4 linked regions of the Notamacropus eugenii genome follow. The protein of the gene in region 4 purifies or fractionates together with the protein of the main gene of each other region. This does not show direct contact. Links are inferred from orthologs where the notes say so. Each region holds a gene or a part of one and is shown on either strand. Other genes may lie near its edges.

The links.
Region 1: the proteins of WDR76 (region 4) and CAMK2D purify together in Homo sapiens (affinity purification with mass spectrometry; 3 studies listed by BioGRID and IntAct, counting the BioPlex papers as one, with this or other methods). This does not show direct contact. The link is inferred for Notamacropus eugenii from reciprocal best matches to the Homo sapiens genes WDR76 and CAMK2D.
Region 2: the proteins of WDR76 (region 4) and HELLS purify together in Homo sapiens (affinity purification with mass spectrometry; 4 studies listed by BioGRID and IntAct, counting the BioPlex papers as one, with this or other methods). This does not show direct contact. The link is inferred for Notamacropus eugenii from reciprocal best matches to the Homo sapiens genes WDR76 and HELLS.
Region 3: the proteins of WDR76 (region 4) and NUMA1 purify together in Homo sapiens (affinity purification with mass spectrometry; 3 studies listed by BioGRID and IntAct, with this or other methods). This does not show direct contact. The link is inferred for Notamacropus eugenii from reciprocal best matches to the Homo sapiens genes WDR76 and NUMA1.

The regions. Positions count from the first base shown.
Region 1 is NC_092878.1:115,955,002-115,962,974, forward strand, and holds the start of CAMK2D (calcium/calmodulin-dependent protein kinase type II subunit delta), read left to right. Parts: upstream 1-4,970; 5' UTR 4,971-4,991; coding exon 4,992-5,239; intron 5,240-6,663; coding exon 6,664-6,747; intron 6,748-7,973. UniProt on the Homo sapiens protein: Calcium/calmodulin-dependent protein kinase involved in the regulation of Ca(2+) homeostatis and excitation-contraction coupling (ECC) in heart by targeting ion channels, transporters and accessory proteins involved in Ca(2+) influx into the myocyte, Ca(2+) release from the sarcoplasmic reticulum (SR), SR Ca(2+) uptake and Na(+) and K(+) channel transport.
Region 2 is NC_092872.1:211,200,919-211,208,145, forward strand, and holds the start of HELLS (lymphoid-specific helicase), read left to right. Parts: upstream 1-4,219; 5' UTR 4,220-4,839; coding exon 4,840-4,870; intron 4,871-5,245; coding exon 5,246-5,370; intron 5,371-7,227. UniProt on the Homo sapiens protein: Plays an essential role in normal development and survival. Involved in regulation of the expansion or survival of lymphoid cells. Required for de novo or maintenance DNA methylation. May control silencing of the imprinted CDKN1C gene through DNA methylation.
Region 3 is NC_092876.1:96,760,683-96,768,208, reverse strand, and holds the start of NUMA1 (nuclear mitotic apparatus protein 1), read left to right. Parts: upstream 1-4,521; 5' UTR 4,522-4,655; intron 4,656-7,526. UniProt on the Homo sapiens protein: Microtubule (MT)-binding protein that plays a role in the formation and maintenance of the spindle poles and the alignement and the segregation of chromosomes during mitotic cell division.
Region 4 is NC_092878.1:54,056,150-54,063,000, forward strand, and holds the start of WDR76 (WD repeat-containing protein 76), read right to left. Parts: upstream 3,022-6,851; 5' UTR 2,438-3,021; coding exon 2,411-2,437; intron 1,970-2,410; coding exon 1,595-1,969; intron 1-1,594. UniProt on the Homo sapiens protein: Specifically binds 5-hydroxymethylcytosine (5hmC), suggesting that it acts as a specific reader of 5hmC.

The sequences.
Region 1 (7,973 bases), about 62 Mb from region 4:
ATTCAGTCCAATTTTTTCATACAGTAGAGGAGGAATATTAAATGAGGAAACTGAGGCATAAATAACTTGACTAAAGTTACACCAAGTTAGAGGCAAAGTGAATAGAGTGTTAGGCCTGGAGTCTGGAAAGACTTGAGTTCAAATACAGACTCAGATACTATGTGACCTTGGACAAGTCATTAATCTCTGCCTCAGGTTCCTCACCTATAAAAAAGGAATAATAATAGTGTCTTCTTCCCAGAGGTGTTATGAGGATCAAATGAGATAATATTTAACCTTAAAGTGCTACATAAATACTAGCTATAATATTTATAATAACAACTATTTTTAATTACTATTTAAATGACAAGCAACAGAAGTAGAATTCTAACTAGGGCCAATGCTCTCTCCATTGAACCATACTGATGAATATTACTAATGTGGGCAAGGTCTTTTAACGTTTTAAAACTTCAGTTCCTTTATCTTTAAAATAAGGGGGTTGGACTAGATGCTGTTAAAGGCTCCTTCTAACTTTAGATCTATGAACCTACTTAATTCGACTCAAGGTCCAGCATTCTATCTACTGCACCACCTAGATGCTTCTCTTAGCTGTCTGAGAAACTCTAAGGTTGTGGTTGTGGTAAAGATAGTAGGTAGAGAGGGACTTTTTGGACTCAGGACTTCTGTTTACCAATGAAACCACAAGTCTTCAAAATAATTCCATAGAGAGAATCAAAAGTAACCCAGAAAAAGGAGAATTCAAACCTTGGTATAGAAATCTATCAAATACAGTGTCTAGTGTGAGGGCCACATTCCCAGGGAACCCACTAATTCTGGAGCTCACAAGTCTATCCCTATTGTATCGTACTATAACCTTTCCTCAAATATTGCCCTAACCCTCATCCTCCACTCCAACCCTCTACTCCCAAATCTAGATCACTTGATCATCACTTTTTCCATTTTATAAATCTGATAATACTAATCTTTACTGTATCTTTGTCCTGGTTTAAAGAAGCCAAGAATCACTGGGCAACTTAGACTCCATTTCAATTAAATTCTTGATCTCACCAATTAAGATCCTGACCAGAGTGCTTACTGTACCAAGAAGATTAAACAGCCAAGGAAACATTCCATCTTTTGTTTTGACAATTCAGGTAGGCCTAAAATAATTGTGAGTAAGTGCATGATATAGAAGTTAGAAGATCAGCCTTGGAGTTAGGAAGGCCTAGATGAAATCCCAACTCTTCTACATCTGTGACGATGGGCAAACCACTTATCCTCTCAGCATCCCCAGACAACTAGGTGTCAAAGAAGGGTGCTGGATCTGGAGTCAGGAAGACTAGAGTTCAAATTCTAGCCTTAGACACTTACTGACTGTGTGACCTTGGGCAAGCCACTTAATCTCTGTCTGCCCATTTCCTCAAATGTAAAATGACAATTATTAGATCCCCTACCTCCCAGGGTTGTTGAGAGGATGAAATAAAATAATATTTGTAAAGCATTTAGCACAGGGCTTGGCAAATAGTAGGCTCTTAAAAAATGTTTACTCTCTTTCTCTCCTTCCCAGGCAATTTTCTAAGGCTGTAAGTTAGAGATGGGCTGTGGACCAGCATCAGAGAAGAGTGTTTCCTGTCACACTGATGAAGTCAAGTTTAAAAAAAAAAGTGTGATGATTCCACATCATTAGACTTCTAAACTGAAGTGAGATGTCACCTCTGTGACATTTTCCTTTATCTCATTTTATGTGATTTTTCTTTTTTTTTTTTTGCATTTCATCTTCCATTTTTAATTGAAGTAGGACTACGAACTGCTTTGATTATTTACTGTAGTTTATATGTCTCCAGAAGTTATTTGCAATATTTGTTTAGTGGACTGAATCTTTTTTTTTTAATTAAACTAGAACAAAGAACTCCCCTAGTAGTATTACTTGGATGTTTTATGGGACCTTGAATGCCATGCCAATGGAACATAAGTTCTCAAACACGAAAAAGTTCCATGTGGTGCCCTAGTGAAAGAAATGGTACAAAAGACATTATCAAGGACATGTATGATGGGCAAAGGAAACCTACCACTCATGGAACAAGTGATATAACACATGCACAGACTAAGTATTACATTTTAATACACAGACGAGTAAAGGAGACAGAGAAAGATCTTTAGCAAGGGGGATAGATAACCCATGAATGATTCATGGAAGAATATAGACAGTAACACAGGATGAGACAGCAGGGATAGGCTGCAATTTGTACCATTGAAGGGGAGTACCTTCAATAATGAGGTCAAAGATTCATTTAAATATCAGAATTAAGCAATCAGCAAACACTAATCAAGGGCCTTTTATATGCATGGAATGGTGCTGAAACCTAAGGATAAAAAGACAAAAATGAAACATCCCAAAATACGGATTACGGGATAGGATGAATTTGCCTAGATCAGGAGTGGGGAACCTTCAGTCTCCGGCCACATGTGGCCCTTTAGGTCCTCAAGTGCAGTCCTTGGATTGAATCCAAACTTCTCAGGACAAATCCCCTTAATAAAAGGATTTGTTATGTAAAACTTGGACTTAGTCAGAAGGCCACATCCAAGGACCTAGAGGGTCACACATGGCTTCAAGGCCAAAGGTTCCTCACCCCTGGCTTAGACTGACGTGATATGGACATTGTTTATGCTTTCCTACTCTCCTGGTATGGCATAATTAAAACTTGTTTGTCTTTTATAGTGCAATACAAACCTCATAGTGTTAAAATTGCTGAAATTTAAGGAGTTGAGAAAAATGATGTCATTGTGTAGGTTTCATAAATTGTATACTTTTTAAAAATTACATTTCTTGATTGTTATAAGGCCTTACAAACATTCCTCTTAATTATTGCTTTCAAACTTTTTTGTTTTTAACTAATGTTTCATTAAGTGATATAGGCTCTTTTCTTAACTAAAATATTTAAAATATTTTACTTGAATTAGTTTGTATGACTGGCTGATTTCATTTCACATCCTAAATATTGACTTAATTCCCTTCATCTTCTTTACTTTTAATCATGTTTTCATTTCTTAGCATTACATTTTAATGCAGTGACTTTACATTTGATTTTTTCAGCATGGAATGTACAGCACAAACTATTTTATGGGTATGGGGATTTGTTTGAAGTGGGAGTCTTTATATTTTGAAAAATGAATGGCATTTGGTGTACTGAGTTGGAACACCAAATTGTTAGGCAAACCAATTCAAACACTGTTTATTCAGTAGTGCCAGTTATTAGAAAGGCACGGTGCTCATTACTGGGAATACAGAAACGAAACAGTCACTGCTCTCAAGAACCTTACAGCATTGCAGTGGAGATCCACCATGTGCAGAAATAAATGTAATACAAAGTTGAGTGTGATGGGGGCAAGGAAGCCAGCTGGACAGTAGTCTAAGAAAGACGAAGATGTTAAAAACATGGTATGAAGAAGACTATTTTCTCTTGCATTTTGTTTTGTTTTGGTTTTTCTCATGGTTTCTCCCATTCATTTTAATTCTTCTATGTAACTTAACTAATGGGAAAATGTGTTTAATAAGAATGTAAATGTAGAACCCATATAAGATTGCAAGCCATCTTGGGAGGGAGGAAGAGAAATTTAAGACTTATGGAAGTGATCATTGAAAACTGAAAACAAATAAATTAATTAAAAAAACACTATAAAGTAGAAGCAGGGTGGCATCTGAGTTTTGTCTTAGTCAATCAATTCATCAGCAAGCATTTATGAAGCACCACTTGGTTTGGGTTAGGCACCTTTGCTAAGGATCTCTCCTGTTCAAAGGAACAGGAGTATTGGAATGAGTAGTGAACCAGAAGAGATTGCCTTCTAGGTATGGATGATCGCTTTACAAATGGGAAGAGATGGGGAAGAGTTTAGGTCATCCAGCTTAGCTTGAACAATGTCTGAAAGGGAATCACATAAAATAAGGCTGAAAAGATAAACTGTAATCAGACTATGAAGGTGTATAAATGTTGTAATAATTAAAGTTGTACCCTTCAAGAAGTCCCTGAAGATTTTGGAACATGACATAATCAAACATGTTTCAGTCATGAGGATGATAACAGTAGCATTTTTATAACACTTTAAGGTTTGCAAAATGTATTATTCCAACTGTTGTGATATCATTGTGATACAGGAGAGCAATGGATTGGGATTTTCTTGTTTAGACAGCTAAGTTTCTGTGGGTAAAACATTTCACCTCTTCTGGCCTCAGTCTGCAAAAGATCTCTTTACAGCTATAACATTTTATGATTGAGAAGTCCACAGTTACGTTCACAGTATGGAGTTACGGTGGGAGGTGGTTGTGGTTGACAATTTTTCCTGAATCTGGGCTGAAGTAACAAAAGGGACTCGTTTACAAAATGACCACTAACCTTTTGTTTTTTTTTTCTCATTCCCTTTGAATTTGCAATTGCCATACTTATTATGGAGTTAAAAGAACTAGAAAGGGAAACCCAGAAGTCATTTCGTTCAGTTTGTCATGCTATCCACTGGACTTAAATTGCAGCTACTGTGCTAATGATTGTTTTGCATAAATTAAATAGCTCATATATAGGCATCAACGTCTTCATTTGCATGTAGACTAAGCCAGAATGTGGCAATGCCCCATCGCACGTATTGGTATCCATGCATCTCAACTATTCATTTGTGTAATACACGTAAAGGCTGCTATCTCTCCGGACTCTTGAGTACACAAGCACACATAAGCGCCCTACCTTTTTTTTTTCTCCTTTACAAATCGAAACAGGCTGGACAAGTTCATGTGATGCAAATGACGTCAGCCTCCATTGGGTCCCGTGATAGACAGACAACCTTCCCTACTCTACCCCACCCCTCCCCTCTGCCACAAAAACAGACTGATCTCGCGAGAAACCTGCGCTCCCAGCGCCTAGACCTTCCCGGGAGGACAGGGAGAGAAAGGGAAAGGTGCGGCTGAGCGCGGGGTGGCGCGTGAAGTCTTTGTTCACACCTCCGTTTGCAACCCGGGGCCTTTGATGCACGCTCCATTCCCAGGCTTCGCTGTGGGAAGCAGTGGAGGAGGTGCAGGCGTGGTGTCCGCACCTGCACCTTTAAGAGCGGCCGGGGGAGCCTGGAAACGGGGGTCCCCTGGGCTAGCTGAAGAGGGAGAACCCCTTCCTGGCTGGGGCGTGGGAGCCAGCCCGGCTCCGCATCCCGGCCGCTTCTGCATCCGGCCTTGGGCTGGCTCCGAGCTGGAAGCCGGGATGCCAAGGCTCCCCACCGGGTGGGCACCCAAGCACTAGGGTACACAGAGGAGCCGGGTCGTTGGCCCCTGCCCCCGGGGAGATCCCGCCGGGACATGGCTCCTGCTATAGTCCGACTCTGAGGGCGCACGGGAAATCGTGCGGAGCAGCGCGGGGGAGGGGGGCTCGTACCGCTCTGCGCCCCCGGGGAGCTTGGTGCAGGGGGGCTGTGCAGGGCCTCCCCGCGCGGCCGGCGATTCATTCCACCCCCGCCTGGGAGGGTTAAAGGGCTAGCTGGCCGGTTTGGCCAGTTGGCTTTGCCTGGCCGGCCGCTCCCGGGGTGTGGAGACCCTTTCCCTTACTACAAGGCGTATCTGCCTGTCTGTGGGTCTGTCTCTTCAGACCTGTTTGCAGAGACCCTGTTCCTGCGTACCCCTCCTCCTCCTCCTCCCCAGACCATTTCAAACTGTGTGTGTGATCCCGTCTTTTCTAATCTTTTTGCACTCTCTGCCTGGGTATACCCCTCCTTCCCAGCGCGCGCGCGCGCGCACACACACACATACACACACATTGCGTGCTGAGAGGGTTGTGTCGCTAGAGGGAGGTGTGGGACAGAGAAAAGGGGGGCATAGAAGAGGGGGTGGCCCCGCAGTAGCTTGAGGAGGGGCTGGGGGACAGCAGAGACGCTGAGGCTGAACTGTGCTCGCCCTGCTACTGCCCACCCCGGGTGCCCAGCGCGCTCGGTGCCGTGCCTCCTCTCCATTCCCAGAGAGCTGCATAGGTACCCCAGCTGGCCGTCGGCTGTCACCGGCGGGGCGGGGAAGGGGAGGGGAAGCCGGCCAGAGGAGCCGAGCTTCCCATTGCTCTGGCGCTCCTTCGCGCACACCCACCCACCCACCCACCCACTGGAGTGGAGAGACTGAGGCTGCTGACAGCTGCAACTGGACTGGAGTTGTCTCCGTCGGGCTTCTCTTCCTTCCCCTGCCCCCTCCCCACTCCACTCCACCCCCTCTCCACCCTTCCACTCCCTCCCCTCCGCCTTTACTCCTTGTCCCCAGTTCATATCGTTTCGCAACTGCTCGCCTCCTGCCCCGTGGCTGGCTGAGTTTTTTCTCTCTCCACCCCCCACCCCCAATTCCTGGCACCTTTTCTATAATACTTTCCCCCCTCCTCCAATTGGGGAGTGGGGGTGGCAGAGAGGGAGGGTGGAGCGTCCAGAGCCGGAGAAGAAAAAGAAGGAAGCGGGAGCAGAAGGATTGTACGATTGTGGAGAGGGGACCCTACGGCACTCTTTCTTTCCCATTGCACCCTTCCTACCTTCCCTCCCCCCCAAGTCCAGATCCAGCCACTTTTTTGGACGAGAAAAGTGAAGGAAGACGGCTCGGGGGTGATAGCGACACAGGGGCCGGTCCCAGGCAAGCAGCAGCACCTCCCGTCCCGTCTCATCCTCCTCCCTCTTCGACAGGAGCCAGCTCGGACCTATGATGGCCTCAACTACAACCTGCACCAGGTTCACCGACGAGTATCAGCTTTTCGAGGAGCTTGGAAAGTAAGCGTCCTTGCCTGGCGTCTGCGGGTCCCCTTTCCTGCAGAGGGCGAGTCGCGTTACCCCCGACCCAGCAGTCCTTTACCGTTAGGGGGTCGTGGGAGTTTAGAAAAGGGGAGGGGGGAGGGGGAAAAGGCTAGCTTGACAGTTGGGCAAAAGGTACTGATCCTTAGGGTGAGGGCGGGGGAGTAGAAAGGGAAGACCACCAGGCTGTGTCCAAGGCTGATAATCCCACCCACCCTCCTTCCCCACTCCCATTTTGCAAGAGAGCCTTCGTGAATTTATGATCCTTGCAGTTGGAGCTGTCATCCTCTGGAGTGTGTATATATGCTTGTGAAAGGCAGGAAATGAGAACCCATGTAAAATGCAACATAGATCATGTTTTCTGTAAATAGAGATGCCTCCAGGGTTTACCGGCGTGTCTGCTCAGTGATACACGTACGGATGAGAACCTCACTGACACAGACGGTGCCATATTTATTGATGCCGAAAGTTCAAGTTGGCGTTCAGTCTGTTTTGTATCCAGTAGTTCTGTCAAAGAAGACAGCAGCCCAGTGTGACATATATATCTATATATCAAGCACCTACATCTTCAGCTACTGTAGGGAGGGGAAAAACTTTCTGGAATTTTTGTCACACCATTCTTCCCAGGATATAGACAGTCTCCCCTAAGAGGATTAATTTAAATGTGCATGGAGGAAAAAACCTCTCTGGAAAGGGAAGAGTCCTGTTTTGTGTATGTGTGTGTGTTAAAGATTATATATAGATACACACATACACATAGTGACAAAAATACTTGCCAGTTTTAAAGAACAGGGAGAAAGATATAAACAAGGAAACTCATTATAAAGAAATCTAACCTAGAGGCTCAGCCACAGTGTTACAGCATCACCCCCAAATGAAATCTGTTCTCATTCATATCTACAGCTTGATCTATTACTTGGAGAAGGGGTGTGTGCATATGTCTGTTGGTGGCTGATGAAGGCAAATAAAAGGAAATGTAAATTTCATTGTGTAAGTGTATTTATTCTGTATGATACTCTTACACTGAGTGGTACTGCATGCACACACACATCTATATACACACGTACATACACATAAAAGGTCAGAAGAGGCAGTTTAATTAAAAGCCTTTTTTTTAACCAAGGCATAAAGAAATCATCGTGCCAGAATTCATTAACTCACACAAATATGCTCAATATTTATATTTCTCTGAGAACAATTATCAT
Region 2 (7,227 bases), on a different chromosome or scaffold from region 4:
TGCCAAATTTTTCTTGCTTAGCATTACCCCAGGCCTTTGGTCCTAAAGGACTTGCAGTATCGGCAACTGCAGTAGCATAATGTCATAGCCTATGAGCCATTTGTACACAGTTCATATGTCAATGTGTAAGATAGCTACTTTATTAAAATTTTCTTTTAGATGGAAAATGTTTTATTATGTCATCATAATGTGAAGTTTAATACAGTATTATTTCACTTGTATACTTATGCAAAGTAACTTTTTAAAAAAGTTGGCAGCATAATATTTTCTTACTTCCATTTCCTTTTATATTAGGCAGCATCCCTCCAGTTTACTGCCGGGTATTCTTACTCTAAATGCTGCTAGAAGGCACCAAGGTCTTGAATTCATAGCAGCTTCCATTGAGAGCAAGTTGCACATCTCTCAGATCCTCTTGGTGTATATGCCCATGGTCAAATGCTTTTAAATGATTAGTTTGGTACTGAACTCTGAGGAGATAATCCAGCATTAGCAAGAAGACACTGAAATTTCTGAAGTCCCAGTAGCTTTGAATTGGTGTTACTTTTCTCTGTTTCAGTTCACTTTCAGTATAGCTGCACATGTGTATTTCAAAACTGTGATCCCAGATAATTTTTGGTTAACATTATACTGCATTGTAATTTTTTTGGTAGCAACAAATATAATTGTTTCTTATCTTGCTAAGTTTGCTATTAAAATTAATTTGCATTCCATAAGAGAACACATCAACTGACAAGAACAAATTGGAAATAAAACAGCCCTAAAGTCTGTGGTACAGGGAAATCAGTCTGGAATTTTAAATTTGCTGGTGGATAATCTACCCTTTTGATAATTAAGAGCTGTATCTGTGTGGCATAAATGGCATATTTTAATTTACTATCAAGCCATTACCAGGGTTTAATAAAAAGCTGTCATAGATTCCCAAATGTAATAAACCTTTATTAAATTGGACTTCACTGGATATTTGTGAAAATTTGAATAGATATGATTTGTCTTTTAATTGTCTAGGAAAGGAAGAATTTAAACAAAACCTTAAAGAAATTCAGCTACTTGGGAGAAAGTGTTTTTAGAATGCTTTTAGAAGCATTCATTAACATGTAATTGCAAGGTGGCAGGGCCCACCAGTACTTAGGTAATGTTTTAATATGCTAATTATAAATCTTTGTTTATTTGTTAAAAACAATGCTTCCTTCATGCCACACTTTTTTAGGTTTCTTGCATGTCCTAGAAATAAGTAAAATTTCATTTCTTTGAATATAACATTTCTATATTTTATTAATTCAGATTAGTCTTCCTGTAATTAATCTCACTTGGTGAGGTTTTACTATATGCTGCAGGCTGAATTTATCTTATTGTGACCATTCTTAAGGAAATCATCTTTTTGCTGCATTAAAAAACCTTTTCATTTGTTGACATTAAGAAAAATGGAAACTTTCATGGTTTTATTAAGTGATTTTTGTACAATTACAATGTATTTGGAAGTCAATTTTGTAATAAACATGTTATGATAAAATTGATACAGCCTTGATAGTAAATGTAAAAAATAGAGACAAGAATTGTCCGTGTTCTCATTTTACAACTTATATTTAAAGCTTTATTATACTGATTATATTTATATAACCCTCTATGTGGTTTTCAAATTTTTTCTGTAGCTATTAAATTTGATTATTGGGATCACCCTGTTAAGTAGGCAAAGATTATCACTCCCGTTTTAAAAAATAAGGAAAATCAGTTTCAGAAAAGTAGTAAATGACAGCAGATTCTGGACTGTGACCCAGGTCTCCTGACTCAGCGTTCATTTAATGCTCTAATCATCTCTGATCTCCCTTTAAATTGAGGTTAAGGAAGTTTTGGGCAGGAGGAACTGCACAAGCAGGTGGATGATTGAGGGATCAGGTTTCCTTTAAAAAGCTGGTTAGAGATGGAATAAAGTAACTGGAGAGATTTCTGTTGTTTATATATATAGCACACAGAGCACATTCATCAGTAAACCTTTAGATAATATATGGCCACCAACAATTATGATAACTTGAGTTTTATTTATTAAGGCCACAGAGTGGGTACATATAATGGGCTGAAACATAAATTATTGCAGGAGCATTCTGTGATAGTTTGTCTCCTCTCACTCTTCCCTAGGGAATCCTCTGCAGTTTGGCGGCTGACCTCAACTGAAACCCCCCTCCCCAAAGTTACCGAACGTTTTCTTAAATGCCAAATCTAATGGCTTTTCCTTGATCCCTTGCTTGACCTCTTCTCAGCTTTTGACCCGGTTTACCACCCTCTCCTCGACACTGCTCTCTCCTGATTCTCTGACCTGCCTGATCTTAGTCTCTGTAACTTGGTCTTCAGAATTTTTTTCTCTCATTCTCCACAGTCATTCATTTGCCAGATCTTGTCCTTTCTATTTCTACATCTCCTATATCCCCTCATCACTCCCATAACTACCATTTTCCTTAAGACTTTGATCACCTCTTTCCTGGACTTGCAGTAACTTCCTATCAGGTCTCCCTCAAGCATAATCATTCCTCATCTCAAACTCTTAGTGACTAGTTCAGCTCTCCTCTCAGACTTTTGAATCTTTTGCTCTGTTGTCCCATTTCACCTCACTGCTTGTCAAACCCCAGCCCTGAATTCTTCTGCCATCTGCCTCCTCCTCTCTACTCCTCATGCTGCTGAATGAGTGAAGGAGGAAGTTCCTCCTGAGGATCAACAGACTCCATATGGAATATTCCTGTGTCCCCTAGTTATCCAAAACTTGGAGAAAACAGAACTCATCTTCCAGACTTGCCTGTTACTGTTGAGGACTCTACCATTCTTCTGGCCACCCCAGTTCTCACCCTCAGTGTTTTTCTTGATTCTTCACTCCCGGCCCACATCCCCGGTCATTTCCACAACGTTCGTTACCCCGTCTTCTCTGTGCTTCCACGTGGCCAGCTCTCTATGTCAGGCCCTCATGAACTCTTACCTGACCATTGCGAAACTGTTCTGATGGGCTTCGCTGCCTTGTCTCTCACCCCTCGTTTTCTCATCTATACGACTGCAGTAACGATTATCCCGAAGCACGGAGCTGATCGTGTCTCTCGGCTCCCAAAACTCCAGGGGCTCTCTGCCTCCAGGACCAGATAGAAACTTTGACATTTCAAGTTCTTACAGCCTGGTCCCATAAACTAACTTAAGTCTAATTATACTTCGTTCCCTGGATTCTGCAATCCAGTCATACTGCCCTTCTCTCAGTTCTGAACACATGATGCTCTGTGCCCTTCCTTCGGTCCCCAAGACTGGAATGCTTTTTGGTGCCCTTGGTTTCTTTTGAGACCAGCATGCAAATGCACAGCCTTTTATGATCCCCCCAAAGATATCTTAGATTCAATTCAATACATATTCTGTATATACTGATGTGGGAAACCAGGAAGAAATTCTGCTTCCACAGGTTAAAATTCCCAGTGTTAAGGGATCAGAGTTGTGATCTAGCACCCTCGGGTGAAAGGTCAACTTGATGAGCTTTGTGAAGGAAAGCCTTCCAGACAGGAGAACGTGAAGTCACCTGGCCAACGGAAGGTGTGGCGAGAAGTCCGGGATTCGGAGCAGTATAAAAGGGCTTGCGTTGGTCTGAACACACGGTAGCTTTCCTGTGGCCTTCCTCGGGAGCTAGCCCTTATGAACGTAGAAGGCTCTCCCTCCTCCTGAACAAGAGTTCAGTGCCTCTGATACGTTTTCCTCAGTATCCAGCCCGTTTCTGTCACCGATGGGCGCACGTGCTGCCTCCCCGCCGGAGGGCGCCTACCTGGGCGCAGGCATCGTTTTGCTTTTTCTTCTGCCCAGCACAGGGCCTGGCACGTACCAGCTGCTTCATAAGCAGTTCTGATTGTTCACTACATAAGTAACCGACACAACCAAGTAACGCGGGGGAGAGAGAAAGCGAGCGCCAGGTGAGGCGCTAGGGAAGACATCTAAGAAGGAAGCTGGTCCCTGGGGATGCAGACGGGGCGTGGCAAAAACGCACCGTCTACGGGCAGGGCCCGGTCACGGCTGCGGAAGCGCGGGGGAGGGAGGAAGGCCGCCCGTCGTGTCTCCTCAGAGACCTGCGCGCGCAGCGGGGGGCGGAGGAGGTACTCAGCAGGCAGTGAGAAAGGAAAGCTAAAAATACTTTACAAGATTCCAAAATTAAGGGGGACAAAAAGAACCGCTGGCTGCTCCCGGCTCAGGCGGGGCGGCCCCCGGCAGTCCGCGCTCACGCGGTAGAGGGGTAAAACCTCCGCACGTGCGCACCCGCGAGCTTCTAGGCCCGCCCCCTCCTCCTCCCAGGCCCCGCGTGCGGCGGAAGCTGATCCCCCCCTCTTCTGAGGCGCAGCAGCGGGGAGGGCGTGGTGGGAGGTCGGGCTGTGGCTCTGAGGAGGGGCTCCCGTGTCCGGGGCTAGCGCCCTCTTGAGGCATCGGGTGCTTCAAGAAAAACAGATCAAAAACGCCTTCCCCTATACTCTCTCTTCTTGTTTGAATGAATTCCCGGTGGTCAGAACCGTCTGCCTGAAGCTCCAGTCAGACTGAAACTAAACCTGCAGAGAGGCGGCAGCGCACCGGACCCTGTGAAGGAGGAGGGAAGAGAGCGAACGGGAAACCCCGCGAGACTGGGGGCGGAGACGGGGAGGGGATAACGAGGAGGGGGCGGGGACTTGGGAAGGAGAAGCGCGCGGTTTTTCCCGAGAGTCTCGAGAGAGGACCGAGCCTCGCGAGACTCAATAGGGGGTTGGGCGAAAATTGGCGCGCGGGTTTGCAGGCTGCTCCGGAGGTCCGTCAGGGAAGCGCGGCGGCTACCGTCACCTTGTTCGCCCGTGTGCCCAGGCTATGCCTCCCGAGCGCCTGCACCAGAGCGACGGTGAGGCGCCCTCGGCCCTGGGGCGGGAGAGTCGGGGGGCCTGAGGAGAGGCGACTGAGGGGGAAGCGAAGCGGTCGGCGTAGCCCTTGGGGGGAGGGCCGGCCCCGCGCGGCCTTTCCCGCGAGAACGAAGCTTCCCTGCTGGTGTTTGATGGGCTTGTGCTTCTGCCGGAGGCGGGGGCCCCAGCCTCCTCCCTGCTCTGGGCGGGCTCGCCCCCGCCCCCGCCAGCTAAGTCTTTCTTGTCTTCCCGCTGACGCCCCCGAGCGATCCTGACCGGGCCGGGGCCGCACGTCCGGGTGGGGGTCCGCCGCCGGCTCGGCGGGGCAGCATCCGCACCTGGTACCAAAAACCATTTTTCTCCTCCATTGAACGCAGGGCTCGTGGCGGCAGAGATGGATCAGCCACAGGACGACACCCCGGTGATCACCCCAGCCATGCTGGAGGAGGAAAAACAACTGGAAGCCGTCGCCATGGAGAGAGAGCGGAAAATGCTGGAGAAGGTACCGCCCTCACCCCCCCCCCCCCAGTGGCTGCTGAATTAAAAAAAGAGAGCATGTGTTTAAAACGGCCTAGCTTTTTTCCACGCTGAAAATCATTTTTTTTCTTTTTGGAAATTTTGGCTATCTAGCTTAGTGGCAATAACGTACTAATTTATTTCAAACTTACTTTAGATGTCAATAGTGTAAGCACTGTGAACAACAATACATAACTTGTATTTTTAAGAAATTCATTTGGAAAGTTTTTAAAAAGCATTTTAGTAGCTCATGGTTCCTGTGCATTTTCTTTTAAAAATTTGTGGATTTTTCTAAAAAAACAGCCATCGTGATGCCTATGAACATTTTAACCGTTTCTTAGAATCACCTTTACACATCTGTCAACTAATTGATCTTGAGAACATAAAACACTAAGTTCAGAATATGTCTTTCTCTGTTTATTACAGACCTGAAGAAAGCTAAGCTTTTAGCATTTCTACCTATTTTGATTTCTCATTTCTCAATTTGGAATAAATTGATATAAAAGAGAGAAGGTTAGTGATCTGTGAAATCCCTTCTGGCTCTCCATTCATATTCTGATCCTAAATAAAAAACATACACTTAAGTGAAATTTCTTTAGTACTTGATGCTCCCTCCTGCAATGCAGATTATGATCCTTTCACGCTTTTTTCATGAAGTGTTGTGGCCAAAAAATAATCCTATCCATATATGAAACTTGACCAGTGCTTACCTGCCAAAGATTTCATTCCACTAACATAGCCTTTGAGAATCCAGAGCCCAATTCCATGCCACAGACAGACATAGAAATAGGACTTTAATTGACAGCAACTAAAACTGATGACTTAAAAATTGTATTCCAGCTTTGAGTACTGTCTGAAGTGTATACACAATGTGTTCATTCATTGTTGTGACTTTGAGGTGATGTGCAAACATTTCTTGGTTAATTAAGTCACCTTTAGTGCTGATTAGGGAGGCATATGACTAAAAGAGGAGGGGAGGCAGGTCAGGTAGTAAGCAGACAGTTTGTGTGCTTCTTTAGTATCCAGGCAGTGTTAAGAAATCTGTAGAAAACCTCTAGCCCATTGCACCTGCTTGGAAGGTGTGGATCTGTTACTACATTCGGAATCATTGTATAGAGCAGCAAGATTAATGAAATCACAGATACATAGAAATGTACAGAGATTATCATGAGATATTATGAGATAACTATATCCTGTATGAATCTTATTTTCGACACATAAAACAATTACCCGGATTATCATTTTTCTCTTTAACTTTTTTATTCCTCATCCTCGAAGAGGTTGTATTTAGGACTAGCAGGACCCTCGTTGTGTTATGGTCCTTTGTTAATATGATTACCCAATACAGAAAGGAAATACATTATAGCTTACAACGTTGAAGGAAGGCATTGTGTTGTGGTTTGAATCCTTGCTCTGACATTTATCTATAATGGCTACGTATTGCTTGAGCCCTCTGGGCCTGAGTTATTCCATATATGAGAGAATTAGTCTAGGTGGCCCCTGAGGTTCATTCTAGCTCTAGATCTATGCTAAGTGCATAGTATGGTATAATAATTACTTGTCCAGTAGTATGTAATGCAGTTACTAATCCTGCTCCAGCAACTTTAAAATGTGGTGGATTGAAGGGGAAGGAAATAAACATGTATGTAAGACCTTTTTGATTTTTACAAATTTTCTCAGTTGATTCTCAGAACAACTCTGGGAGGTAAGTGCTGTTATTATTTTCCATTTGAGGAAACTGAGGCCAGCAGGTTAAGTGACTTGCCTAGGGTCACACTGTTTAAGTGACCAAGGCTGGATTGATACTTCACTTTACCATTTTAATTTTTATTGGCTTGTATTC
Region 3 (7,526 bases), on a different chromosome or scaffold from region 4:
TTATAAATTGAAGGGGTTGGAGGAGATAGCTTCTATAGTCACATCCAGCTCTGTGATCCTTTGGCCTTTGGCCTCTGATTTTGCTCAAGCTGTTCTCCAAGCTCACCTCTACCTCTTAAAATCCCTAGCTTCCCTTAAAGGTCACTTCAAATGCCATTCCTCTGAGGCTTTTGCTAATTCCTCCAGCTGCCAGAGCCTCTCCCATCAAAATTGTCCATATTGGGATAGAATGGCAATAGTAGCTACTTAAATTTATTCAGTTAATCAATGATATAGCATAAGAACCAGAGAAGGTGCTGTTAGAACCAGAAGAAAGCAATGTCAAGCAAACTAAAAGACTATCTTGGAGCAAGTGATAGTGTTGAAAGTTCCAGAAAGGTCAAGAATATGATTGTAGAAAAGGGTATCAGATTTAGTAGCTAAGGATTGTGTGTCATCTGCGAGGAAACAGTTTTAGACCAATAGTGGAGTTTCAGGGCAAGTGCTGGTGTAGGAAGTAGAGGCAACAAGTATAGCATAGCTCTGAAAGAGAAATCCCTCTTTGTCTAGCTTTATGTAATATATTTGCGTGAAGGGGTGAGGGACGGTGGGTTATTGTATGGGGTGTTCAGGAGGACTAGCACCTCTGGTGTGAAGGCTTCTTGAGCCACTTTTCAGGGGCTGCTCATCCATCTTTGATATCCACTTGATTCATCCAGTTTTCACCTGTGGCTCCTGGAAGCTGCAGCATGTGCAGTAACCACACCCCAGTAAAACCAATCAGCAGAGAGACTAAAACAAGCTGAGGGTAACTGACAGATCTTCAACCTGTTGGTGGCTAGGGGAATGTCTACCCCAAGCACGTGAAGACTTTCCCTAGCAGAATGGGCAGATGAGAACAGTTCATTCCAATGGCCAGGATGGTAGCTAAAGCAGGTGCTGTGAAGCAAAAGTCACATGCTGCATTCTGTGCCATGGCCAGTCACCTTGACTTTTGTCCTGCCACTGGACTTTGTGACTCAGGAAGGGAGTGTGAGGCTGATGACTGTGCAACTCTACCTCACTTAAATTGAATTTCATACACAAGTCGAGACACAACCCGTGACTTCACTGGTCCTCTTCAAAAATGGAAGGACAAACAACAATATATGGGGCAGGTGAAAGATTTTTAAGGATGGGGGAGGCTTGGTGACATTTGTTGCTGTTTGTCCTTTGTATTTGAAGATGACCAATGACATAATGGGTGATGCAGGCAGCAGTGAAAGAGCCAGAGAATGATGGAAGAGAAGATGAGCGGATGGGATCAAGAGCACAAATGGAGAAGTTAGCCTTGGGAAGAAACACCACCTTTTTATCAGAGACTGGGGCACTGGGGACACAAATTTTTAAATAGGCAGTGCTTACTGTCAGAGACCTTAAAGTCTAATAAAATTGGGAAGGCTCAGGTATGTACACAAATAAGAACAAAAATGGGATAAGGGCAAATACAAGATGGAGTGCTGTAGGAAAATCTGAAATTGGCAAGAGTGTTCGTTTCAAAGAAATGGCACTGACCTTTTCCTTAAAGGAGAAAGAATATGGTAATATTCTAATATAGTAATAATAAAATATTCTAATAAGAATAGGTGGGCCTCCAAATTCAATACTCAACTAAAACTGATTTCTCCAAGGAAGTGTATTCCAGATAGGGGAGTAAAAGGAAAGAATGGAGAATGATATGGAGGAATTTTAAGGTATATCATAGGACAGGAGAACTTACTATAGATGGATAACTTTGCTTTTTTTCTCACTAAGGTAGGAATTGAAGTCTTCTGAGAGGGGAGGAAAGGGTGTAGTACATAGGAATTTGAACAAAGATGAATCACTTCAAATAATCTTGAGAATCAGAATAAAAAGACTGCAGCTTTGAGGGCCCAGCTGAGATCAGATAACAATGGGGTTGAATCAGCAGTCATTTTGAGTGCCTTCCTCTTTGGGCTGTTGGAAGAGAATTAGAAGATAAGGAGGGTGAGGGTAACACAGGCCTCTGGCACGATCATGAAGGGTAAAAAGAGTCAAGGGTACATACACATTAGTATGCCATTGAAGCGGTCAACTCTAGTACCAGAACAACAAAGGATGGAGGGACTGAAGGGTATGCTGAGGATGAAGGACAGTTTTAGGAATGATGCAAGAGTACCAAGGGTTATGATCAAAGATTCAGTATCCCTATGGATAGCTTTGGCATAAGGATGACCTAGGTCATGTGACTTAAGGTTGATAGGTTGGGAGACCAGGGTGTTTGAGGGGACCTCAATGTAGAAATTGAAATCCCCAAGTATTCAGGGAGGGTTTGGGATGGAGGAGGGAAAGACTGAGCCAAGTACTGAATGTGAGAGGGTGACTATCATACCAAAAGATGAACACCACAGATATAAAATAGGTCTTAAGCCCACTTTACAGATGAAACAAATGCTGAACGATGTTACATGACTTACTTAGCACCACAAAGGTACTCTGTTTGAGACAGGATTTAAGTTCAAGTTTTCCTAACTCCAAGCCTAGCATTCTATTCACTATGCCAGTTAACTACCATTCAGAAGAATGCAATGGGCCTAAAAAGAGGGAGTATTTGCTGAGTAATAACTGCAGATGGAGGGTTTAGAAGTGTCACTGGGGAACCAGGAATATATTTTTTCTTCTGTCCAAGCCTATTAGGAGAAATGAGAGGAGCAAACAGCACCCAAGAAGTAGTGATTCTGTGTCTTCTGGAGACATCTATGTTTCCATGGGCACATGAAGATAGAGTATTAAAGGAAACAGGATAAAGGGAATACCATTAATGATTTAATTGGGCTTTCATAGAGTAAATGAAAGTGGAAAGGGTGTAGGAAGTTGCTTACCCAGTTCCAAAATTTCTAGTTACTTGATATATTAGGTGGCTATTAATGTCTGAGCTGTCTTACCGAAAAGGGGAGAAAATCAAGAAATAGCCTCCATCTGGGCTGGCTGTCTTGCCTCTGTCAGAACCCCCATATTCTCAGATTGAAAGCACCCTTTCCCCCATTTTGGTGGTGGTCTCCTCTTCACCATCCCAATGGTATGGTGCCAAAGTCTGCTTCTAGGAATTTGAAACTCTTAGGCTACAGAAATGGGGAGGGGAGTACCCACCCTCTGTCATGCCTAGCAAGTACCTCAAAAGTCCCTAATTGGTCTCCCTGCCTCCAGTCTCTGGCCTCTCCATTCCATCTTCCACAGAGTTGCCAAACTGATATTCCTAAAGCATAGGTCACTCCTCTGCTCCAGATGCTCCCAAATTGTCACTAAGTTAAAATACAAACTTTTGTTTGATATTTAAAGCCCTTCAAAAACTGGCTCCAGCCTACTTTCCCAGGCTTATTACTTACTCCTTTCAGACACCTTGCCCTCCAGCCAAACTAGCCTTTGTGCCTTTACTCAAGCTGTCCCTGCTCCACCTCACCCCCATGCCTGGTATACATTTTTTTTTTCACCTTTTTAGTCCCTTAGTTCAAGGTTAAAATTCAAATACCTCTTCACTAGGCCAATCTCGATCACTCCCCAATTGACCTTACCGCCCCTGACTTGCCATGCCCCCTCCCCAATTATTTCCCATTTTACTTATCTGTTACTGGAGTTTCTCCGAAAAAGAACGTATTCTCTTTGACTGCTAGAACTTTTTCGTTTTGTCTTTGAACAAAGTGCTTATCCCAGTGCCTGGAATATAGTAGGCACTTCATGTCTGCTGAGTGAATAATAAATGGGGTTCCCAAGCTACCTTCTCCCCGGACTACCTCAGGTTCTTACAGCTTAGCTGTCTCTGCTTTGGGGCCACCTCAGGCCCTTGTAATAGGGCTACCTATGCTTGGCATGACACCTGTATCCGCCTCAGTCCTTGCCCAGTGCGCTCACCAGCTGCTGCCCAAGCTCACCAGCTCCGTTTTCTTCAGCCTTTGCCTTCCCGTAGACAGCGGCACGCTTAGCCCAACTCCATGGTAACCATCATCATCACAGCCTCCCAACCTCTGTACGCCTCGCCCCGGGGCATGCTGGGACCTACAGCCCTCCCCGCCCCTAACCGTGGCCAACGGGAAGAAGGTTTTACTTAGCTGCACAGAATCCTGGGACTTGTAGTTTGCGGTTTTCAAGGTCAGAAACCGAAACTTCAACACAGTCTGGCCTTCTAAAGTTCCTCAGTCCCTACAATCGTCGCTCCTAAATTCTCTGCCCCGACCTCTACCTTTTATCACCCCTTCTCCATTTCCCGCTCTGACCCGGGCCCCTGCCCAATCCCTTAGGGAGCCGCGAGGAATACTGGGATTTGTAGTTCAAGCTTCCCTCCGGCCTGAGGAGATAGAGACTCGATGCTCCCCCCGTCCTGCTCCAGGCTCCCTTCTCCCAAGCAACCTTCCTTCTTTCTCCCGCCCTGCCGGGGCTGTGAGAGTGCGCATGTGTACCATGATGTCTCCTTGGTTTGACCAATGAGGACTCAGCACGAGGGGGCGGCGCTGCAGTTCAAACTGTGGGCTTGGGCGGCGGCGGCGGCGCCGGAGGCTGCCCCAGCAGCTACTAGGAGATGGGGGTGGGGAAGTGGCTGACGGAGTGAGTCCTGAAAGTGGGACCTTCAGCGGGTCCTGGGAGCTGTAGCCCCTAGGAGGGACGCGCGCGTGCGCGGCCAGGTAAGACCAGGAGGGGAGTCGAGGATGCACCCTAGTGTCGGAATGAGGAAATGGAGAGGAGGTGTCGCGGAAGCGGAGGGAGGACGGTGTGAGGGAGCTGCCGAAGGGCGGCGAATGCGGGGTGGGGCGAGCGGAGAGAAAAGAACCTGAGAGGGGAGGGGGCGGCGAGGGAGAGCGGAGCTTTGGGGGCCGCCCCGCGTTGTGGGGGACAGGAGGCGCCTCTCGATGGGGGAGGGGCCCTGAGGGGGGAAGGGTCGGAGAAGTGGTGGGGCCTGCTGAGTGCCCTGCGCTGGCGTGGGCGACCGGGACGGGGAGAGGAGGCGCACCCTGCCCTTAAGAAGCTGGCATGCTGCAGGAGCCGCTGCCAGTGCCGCTCAGAGGACGCGCGGAGCTTCTTTTTCAAAATAAACATGGGCTTGTTTTCTGGGGAAGGAGATCTGGACTTTAAAGGCTATAATAATGCGAGGTGCAAGGAAGGAAGGGGAGCATTCCAGGCTTGGAGGATCTAGACCAAGTCTACACGCTGTTATTAAGCACCTCCTATGTGCCAGGCGCTCGCGGCTGGGTGGCGAAGTGGGTAGATAGAGCCCCAGGCCTGGAGCCCGCGGCGCTCGCCTTCGTGAGTCCAAAGCAGTCCTCAGACATTCCTGGCCGGGTCAGCCTGGGCAGGTCCCTTAACCGGTGTCTCCGTGTTCTCATCCGTAAAACGAGCTGGAGGAGGAAATGGCCCCCGCGCCAGGATCTCTGCCCGGAGAACCCCGAGATGGGGCGACGGAATCGGACACTGCTGAAAGCTGTACCAGCGCAGTGCCCGGGCGAGGACAGTTCTGTGTAGTAAGACAGTACGCCTTTATTACGGGCCTGCGCTGTGCCAGCCCTTGTGCCAAGCCCTGGGAAGGCAGGAAGATCCGTCAGTGATAAACATGAGAGTTTGTATTTGGTTCTAGAGGCAATAAGGAGCCATTGGGAAAAGGAGGCAGAGAGAAGAACTGAGACTTGGAGACACTCCATTTTCTCCGGCTGCCCCCCGTGCCTGGAACGCTTTCCCTCTACTCTGTCTACAGACTTCCCTGGCTTCCTTTCAATCCCCACTCAAATTCCATCTTTTTTGGGGGGGCGGTATTTAGTATTTACTTTTTCCCCAGTTACACGTAAAAAACAAGTATTTTAACATTTGTTTTCAAAATCTTGAGTTCCAAACTCTCCCCTTCTCCGTCTTCCCCCACTCCCAAGGCAAGCAATTCCATAGTAGGTTATACATAAAATCCCATCTTTTATAGGAAGGCTGTCCTAACTCCTCTTAATTCTGGTGCCTTTCCTCTGTTAATTATTTCCTATTTATCCTGTATATAGCTTGCTTTGTTCGTTATTTGTTTGGGTGTGGTCTCCCCCATAAGATTGTAAGATCATTGAAGGCAGACTGTCATTTGCCTCTTTTGGTATTCCCAAGGCTTAGCACAGGGTCTGCTGGCACTTTATAAATGTTGATTGATTGATTGAATTAAGAAGCTAACAGGTCCCTGAAGAGGTGGTGAAGATTTAACTAGAGTGGTTGTGGTGAGTTAGATTTGAAAGCTTGAGGGCAGGGCCTGACCTTTACTTCTTTTTTGTATCCCAGCCAGTGTCTGCCACATAATAGATGCTTAATGAATGTTTGATTAATTGAGTTGAGAAAAGATGTGAAGATAGAAACAATTTTTGTTGTTGTTGTTCTTCAGGACCCCATTTTGGGTTTTCTTTGGCAAAGATAGTGGTGTGGTTTCTAGTATTTAAAGATAGCTCTTGGGCTTCTCACCCTATTTTTCAGCGTCACTCTTAAATTGTGGTTCCCAGGAATAAGTAAACTATTTCAAATGTGACCCAGTTAGGATTGAGTTGGTTAGATTATCACCTTCCTTGTTTTGAGTACTCATCTAGAATTGTGTATAAATTATTTTTTTTAGCAGCTACTCCATGCTGTTCTTAGTAAATTTGTAGAAAAAACTAACACATGGCCTGGCTCGTACTCATGGACCCCTTAACTCTGCAAAGCAGTTAAAGGGGATGGTATTCTGTGTCTCCCTGCAGAATATTATCGACACTGACTTAGGTACAAATGGCAAAAAAATAAATAATAGAAGATTAGCTGTAAAAGGAGGGCACATAGGGAATAATGAGAACTCAAGTTATGCTAATACCCATGAACTAATAAAATACTCATCAAGGGTTATTCACCTAGGATCTGTGAACTTGATTTATTTTTTAAAAGATGTTTTGATAAATATTTCAATACATTTGCTTCCCTTTTCAATTCTATGTGTTTTATTTTGTGCATTTAAAAAATATTATTCTGAGAAGTTGTTCATAGGCTTCACCATCTTATCAAAGTGGTCCATGACATAAAAAAGGTTAAGAACTCATTTGGGTAGATTCTCTGAAGAGGATTTATGGATAAGAATTGCGCAAGAGGAGAGAAGATATGGACGAAGTTGCAGTTTGTTTCCCTATTAGAAGGAACACTGATGAGAGCTAAGAAAGTAAATTTCATCTTATTAGATTTGATCAGTCATTCTCACCTGTCAAAATGTTTTTGGAATTGTGCAGGTGGGTTCAAGCCCTGCATAGGTTCATAGGGACTGCAGGGGGGGGGGGGGGGGCGGGTTATGTTGAGTATTTCATTAGCTTCTCCATTGTGAAACTTAGCCAAATCCTAATTCAAGATGTGTTGTTAATATGTTCAATAAATGGTTGTAAGCATAAAAAAAATGTTTTTGGATTCTGACTCTGTCATCCAGTGTTTTAGCATTCCATTCCAGTTTCCTGACATCTGCAAATTTGATAAACATACCTTCTCTTCCTTTTCCAGGTCATTGATAAAAAAGATGTTAAGTA
Region 4 (6,851 bases):
TTACCTCACCCATGAGGGCCTCCCTAATAACTCCAAATAGAAGAGTCCTTTCCAAGCTAGTATTTCATGCCTGTTTGACCTTTCTTATACATCTTTCTAAGCTGTATTAATGTATATAGATAGCTCATATCCTTTCTATTAAGCTGTAAATTCCTTACTCTATTTGTGTGTGTGTTTTCTTTTACAACATGGCTAATATGGAAATGTTTTGCATGATATCAAATGTATAATAGATATCGAATTGGTTACCTTCTCAAAGAGGTAGGAGGTGAGAGAGAGAATTTGGAACTCAAAATGCTGAAAAATGAAGGTTCAAAAATTTTTTACATGTAATTGGGAAAAATGTAATGAAACTTCAAAAAATTTAAAAAAAAAGAAATGAAGGGGATGGTTTCAGAAAAACCTGAGAAAACTATGAACCAACATAAAGTGAAGTGAACAGAACCAGGAGAACACTGTACATAGTATAAACAATAAGGATTAACATTTATTTTTGCCCTACTTGATCTCTTCATTACCAGAATTCAAGTTTTTCAAGGGAAGATTCTAATTTTATCTTTACATTTTCACAAGCACAAGGCCTGGAATAGTATGCACATAATAAATGTTTTTTGAGGCAACGTGGCATACTGAGAAAAGAAGTAGCCTTGGAATTAGGGGAGACCTGGATTCAAATCTGGCCTCTGTCGTCTATTAGCTATGTGACCATGCTTGAGCAAATTATTTAACTTCCCAGAGACCCAGCTTCTTCATCTGTAAAGTATAAACGACAACACTACCTACAGTATCTACCCCAGAGAGGTTTTGTGAGGATCAAATGAGAATATAAGTAGAACTCTTTGAAAGTGCCATCTCTGCTAAACAGATGTTTTAAGTTCAGCATCAGTACAACCAGTATCAATTTTTCTTTCCTTTACGCTTTGCATTAAAGGATGGTGACTCCCGTACATTACAAATATATATTAAGGATGTTCAGGATGCAATGACTGAACTTTTACTCTTCAAATGATATGCGACAAGTATAAAATGAAAAAAATATCAGTGTTAGAACTAAAGAATATTAGAGCTTAAAGAACTTCAAAGATCATATAGCCCAGCACTTCCCTTATTTAATAGTTGAACAAACTGAAATCAAGAGGGTCAAGTTGACTTGTACAACACTACACAGTGAGTGAGTGACTTGTGACAGAAGTATCCCTTTCCCCACAGCACAAAAAAATTAAAAGCTATTTCAAGACAACAAGGTATGAGAAAAAAATTATCAATTTAACTCTAACTGAAATAGGTAGCTTAGCTCTCTTCTCTGGGTCATAGGATTTAGAGGTAGAAAGGAGTCTTAGAGATCATCTAGACCAATTGCCCCATTTTATAAATAAGGATACCGAATACTAGAGAGATGAAGAACCTTGACCAAGGCCACACAGATTTGTATAAATTTAGGTCCTTGGATTCAAAATCCAGTGCTTCTGTCACACTTAAAGCTTATAACTTACTAAATTCACCAAAATTTCAAATTTTGAAAGCAAAAGATAACATTTTCATTATATGTCAATTGGTAAAACTGACAAGATAATTCTTAAACTGAGATACTTACTATGTCAGCTGTTTCATTTTCATCACCATCTCCATCCTGATTGCTTTGCATTTCATTGCATTTAGCATTCCTGGGCATCACAACACTTGGCTCTGTCTGAGAACCCAAAGCTGATCTTTGTTGCCTGTATTCTTCCTTGGGAAACACAGCTTTTCTTTTTGGAGCCCCAAGTTCTCTGTGTTTCCGTTTGACTTTAGGCCTCTCTTCGTTAGGACTATTTTCTGATAGACTGTGAAGGCTCATCATTTGGCCCTGTTTGCTCTTTTTGACAACAAATGGGAAAAGGAGTACTTGAGCTTGCTTCTGTAAAATTACAGTCTGCTGCGGTGTTAGAGACACGCCAGGGATGCTCTGAGCGGAGTTAGATTCGTTCACCTGTTTAGTTCAATAAAAAACGCAAAGTGTTAGAATCTGATCTTCCTCACAAAGTCCCCTGCTTGACCCATGTAATCCCTAAGTATCTGATGGTCCGCAGAAGATGGAGTTTAACCAGCCCTCATCGCAGCTGTCTCTCTCCCACACCACGGCTCCAATACCGGTATGCCACCAGTTTCCGAACAAGTCCGGAGTGACTTAAAGAAATCACGAAATTAGCACCCACACTGAACTGCATGTCAGCAGAGGAGTCCAGAGCGCAAGAGGCCAAGCCAGGACAAGTCTCTTGTTCACCCTGGGGCTTCATTTCCTCCCCTTCCAAAAGGCTTAGGCTCACCAGGGGCCAGCACCCTCAGCCCAGCCCAGGAGATCCCGCCTACTCCCCTGCTCAGGCTTGTGCAGTCCAGCTCCCCACTTGCTCTCAACCTCCAAAGCCCGCACCTGGAGGGGCTCCCCGGACCCTGCCATTCTCTCCCAGCTCCAGCTGCCTTCCCGCCAAGAGCGCCCGCCAAGAGAAGGCAGCCCGCCAGGGCGGGGACAGAGAAGGCCGGTGCTCGGGCGGAGGAGGCCCGGCCCGGCCGGTGGGCGGGACCGGGAGGCGGAACCGGGAGGCGGAAGCTAAACCAGGCGCTGCCTGGAGAGAACCGGTGGTAGTGGTCACATCGCCTTCAGTCCCTTCGTCATGCCATGTGGGATCACTTGGCTAAGTTACCCGAGTGCTGGGCCATTTCCTTCTCCAAGACCAAGAAGGTTAAGTGACTCGCCCAGGTTCTCAGGGCTAACGGGGCTGAGCTCAGATCCGACCTCAGACAGAGCAATCTTCCGGATCCCGGTCCTGGGCTCTACACACCTGCCACTGGACAGAGCCAATGCGGAGGGGGCTAGGGCGCCCTCCGCCACGGCAAACCCTGCCTGGGCAGTGAGAGGGTGTGCGGGTCTGGTCCCGCAAAGCGACATTAAGAGCTCGGCTTGTGCACTTCGTCCCTTTGTGTCTTAGGCAATCTTACAGGACCTTGGTTTACGTCTCATCCAAATGGAAGCGCCCTCCCCTTTGTCACTGGGTTGTCACGCTTTGAAAACCTTAAAACAGCATATAAAGATGAGCCTGTCAGTGCAGAACTGCAGATTCTCAGAGTTGAAAGGGACCTCAGTGTCCTCCTGGTCCAAATGGCACCTGAGAAATGATTCCTTCTTCAACACAACCGACAAATGGCCAGTTGGCCTCTGCCTGAAAGTCTGCCCTTGGAGGAAACTCAATGGTCCAAGGCAGCCGTTACACTTTGGGGTAGCTCTAACTAAACACCAAGCTAAATTGGCCTCTGCAACATCTGCTCATCACTCCTATTTCTGCCCTCCAAAGTGAAGAATAAGACTGTTTTCTTTTAGAAATGATTGAGAATTATGAACATGGCTGTAACAACCCACTCAAAAAAGTCACAAGAACTCAAAGTGTGGCTGTCCTTTTACCTCTCCAGGTGAAACATCCTTCAACAGGCCTTCATATAACGTGATAATAATGTAATATCATTGGAACCTCAAGGGCCAGAGCCTCAACTAATCAACCAGAAGAAGCAACAGATCTAAGTAAACGCTGAGAACGCCTCCGTGTCAACAAGAGCTGACCTGAGCATTCTTCTATTAATGCCTACCAAGGACAGCGGGCCTTAAGCAGACACTACCTAGAATAAAGGGACTTTCTCTTATCTTAATATTTTATGAACATATACTGTGTTATATCATGTTAATGGTAAAGAAAACAGATATCCTGGGTTGTAATTTCAATCGACACTTTGTCAACTCTCTTATCTTATTGTATTTACAACCTATTCAATTAAGAAAATTCCTTTTCTCATACTATGGTTAAACATATATGGAGATCATAAATTCGAGAGACATAGACATGCTGAGTTGAGATTGCTCTAAAACCTGTTTAAGGCTGGTCATTCTTTTATCAGTCAGAAATCATGTTTTGGCTCTGTGTATGCATGTATCTGCTAGCTAAGGAAATAAACAATATGAATTTCTATATCACCTAGCCTGTTTGGGTCTTTTAACCAAACTTTCAAGTGGACACATGAAATCGAGGCCCTTCACCATGTTGTTCTACCTCTACTGGATCAGCTTATCAATGTCCTCCCTGAAATTATGTACAGTTTTGTGCAGTATAATGTGTTTTGATGCCCCAAAACCACAGGTAATAGTCCAGGTTTGGTCTGAGTAAGGCACAGTAAAAAAGTAATTGGCTTTTAAAAAATGTTTATAGTAAACAATTGTATTTTGGTAACAGCTCAGGTTTAGATATATTGAGTTTCAAGTGTCAATGGAAAATTAGGTAGAGGTATTCTGTAGACAGAAGGAGATACAGATCTGGACATAGAAGAGGAGTCAGATGAGTTATCTCAGTAAGTGGAAGCTGAAGTGGTGGGATTAATCAAATTGCCAAGGGAAATAGTATAGAAATGAGAGAGGGCCAAAAATATAAAAATAGGCAATACCACAAAGAGGAGAAAGAGACAGTGAAAGAAGTGGAAAAACCAAGAAAGTGGTATCCAAAAGGTGGTAGTCAACAGTGTTAATATCTAATGAGAAGAAAAAAGCTTTGATAAACCTGTTAAGCAAACAGAAAATGTGATCTAAGTATTCTTATAAATTATTTTAAAAATTGCAAGGAAAAGAAATATTTGTTCCAATAATGGAAAAAAAAAACTTTTTTTAAAAAACAAAAAAAGGGGAAGAAATTAGTAGACAAAGTTCAGTGGGTTTGAATATGCAAGAATAAAAACTTTGCACAAGAAACTAAAAAATATCTAGTCTAAAATAAAAAGAGTGAGGAAAACAGATTTGTAATGTATCTGATAAAGATTTATCTTCCAGAACATATAAAGAACTGATAGACAGCTATAAAATTAATTTACACTCCCCAATGAGGAATGGCCACAGGTCATGTAAGAGACAGCAAAAGTTAAGTTTCCACAGAAGTTATTATTAGTTGATGAAGTCAGTGAGAATTCAGATAATAAGCCTAGCTGACTGTAGGTGGACTCAACCAATCAAGAGACAGACAGTGGCCTTCAGAAAATTACAAAGTTTCAAATCTACAGTTAGCTGGAACTAGTCAGGGAAAAATGACCTAGAGTTACCAGGAGAAGGCTTTTCTTCACTGAGTTTGCTTAATGAACCTCAAGTATATAAACAGACACTCTCGGCATAATATTATCCCTCCATTTTCTGATCATGGGTCCTATGTTAAAGAATGTGTGGGAGGGGGGATCTCACCAGGGGTGCTTATGTAATGGGCATTTAGAGAAGATCATGACCTAATGGACAATGGACCAATCCGTCTCTTGATGGGATGATCTGTCCTGAGCTAACAGTATAAAGCCAATCTCACTTATGTATCTGACACTCACTCCTCCCCAAAAGAGGAAGGAGGCCCGCTTTGGCCAACGTGTTCAATTCCTCTGAACTCTGCTGCAATAAATTTCCCTTGATACTTTATTAGTGTCAACAGGTCATAAACAATTTTTGAAAAAAAATACAGGTTAAGAACTACATGAAAAGATGTTCAAAATCCCTAATGATAAAAAATGGACAAATCAAAAAACCTGGAAATGTTTTTTGTGCAGTGTGCTCTTGGGCAATTCACTTCCCCTCTAAGCCTCATGTTCCTCATTTATAAAATGAGGGAGTTCTCTTCCAGCTACAGTCATATTCCTTATAACCATTATATTGCCTGAAATGGTAAAAAAAATGATAAAACTTCAGTAGGACACTGTAGAATTCAGTAACTCTGACAAAGCAGAAAACATACATTATTTAGCCAAAAATTGCTGGGAAAACTAGAAGGCAGACTAGCAAAAATTCGTCTCAGATCTATTCCACATTACATTCCCTAAACGTCATATCTACCTTCTGATTAGTCCTGATTTTGAAGTACAGCTGAGAACGATTTCTGAAACGGGAAAAATATCCTTCTCTCCCAGTCCTCTAATCTAAACAACAGGCCAACAACAGGTGGTTTTATTTACTGGTTTGTCTGGGTCTAAAAGCGTATGTTTTATGCATGATTAAAAAACCTTCTAGAATCACAAGGTCAGCTATTGTGTATCAACAAAGCAATCAAACTCTGTGTTCAGCAGCCTTTACATTTAAAGATAGAAGATCTGGTTATAATCCAAGGCTAAAACAATTACCAGTTTTTAAACTGCCCCTACTGCCGCCCCACGGCACTCTACTGCTCACCTCCAGCTCGAGGGTACCTGGAATACCCTTTCTCATCAGCTAAGCTGAGTCCTTTATTCCAAAAGAACACAATCCATTCACAAATCTGCATTATTTACTTCTCTTAGATGCCAGAAAGCTAGATTTTCCTTCACTTCTTTGCACCCCCTTCCGGCGCTCCCCAACAACAGATGCGCAGTAACTACGGGCTTATGGACCGCAGTGCAAACGGACGGAAGGAACACAATAGGCTCCAGCTGGACCGAGAAGACGGCATTTGGGGCCCAGAGGCCTCCCCTGCCTCCCTCCAACCTATTTCTCAACACCCGGGGACCCCCTGGTGGGAATGTAGAGATTTGTGGTGAAAGGGTGGGAAGAGGCCCTGACTTTCATGGTAAAGGGGTGGGATAAAATCAGATAAAATATTAAGTGAAAGTAAAAAGCTACAACAGTCAATCAAGGAACTTGAAAAGCTGCAAACATTCAAACCAGTTAAATCCAGGAGCTCCCGGGCCACCCTCGCTCGCACCCTCCACGGAGGCTCTCACCCCCTACTAAAGGCTGCTCCTGAGCCTCAGCCCACCTTCGGGGTCCCTTCCGCCCTGGATCCTCTGATCTGGAGTGCCGGTGGCAGGGCCGAGGCTCACAACCCAGCCGTCCC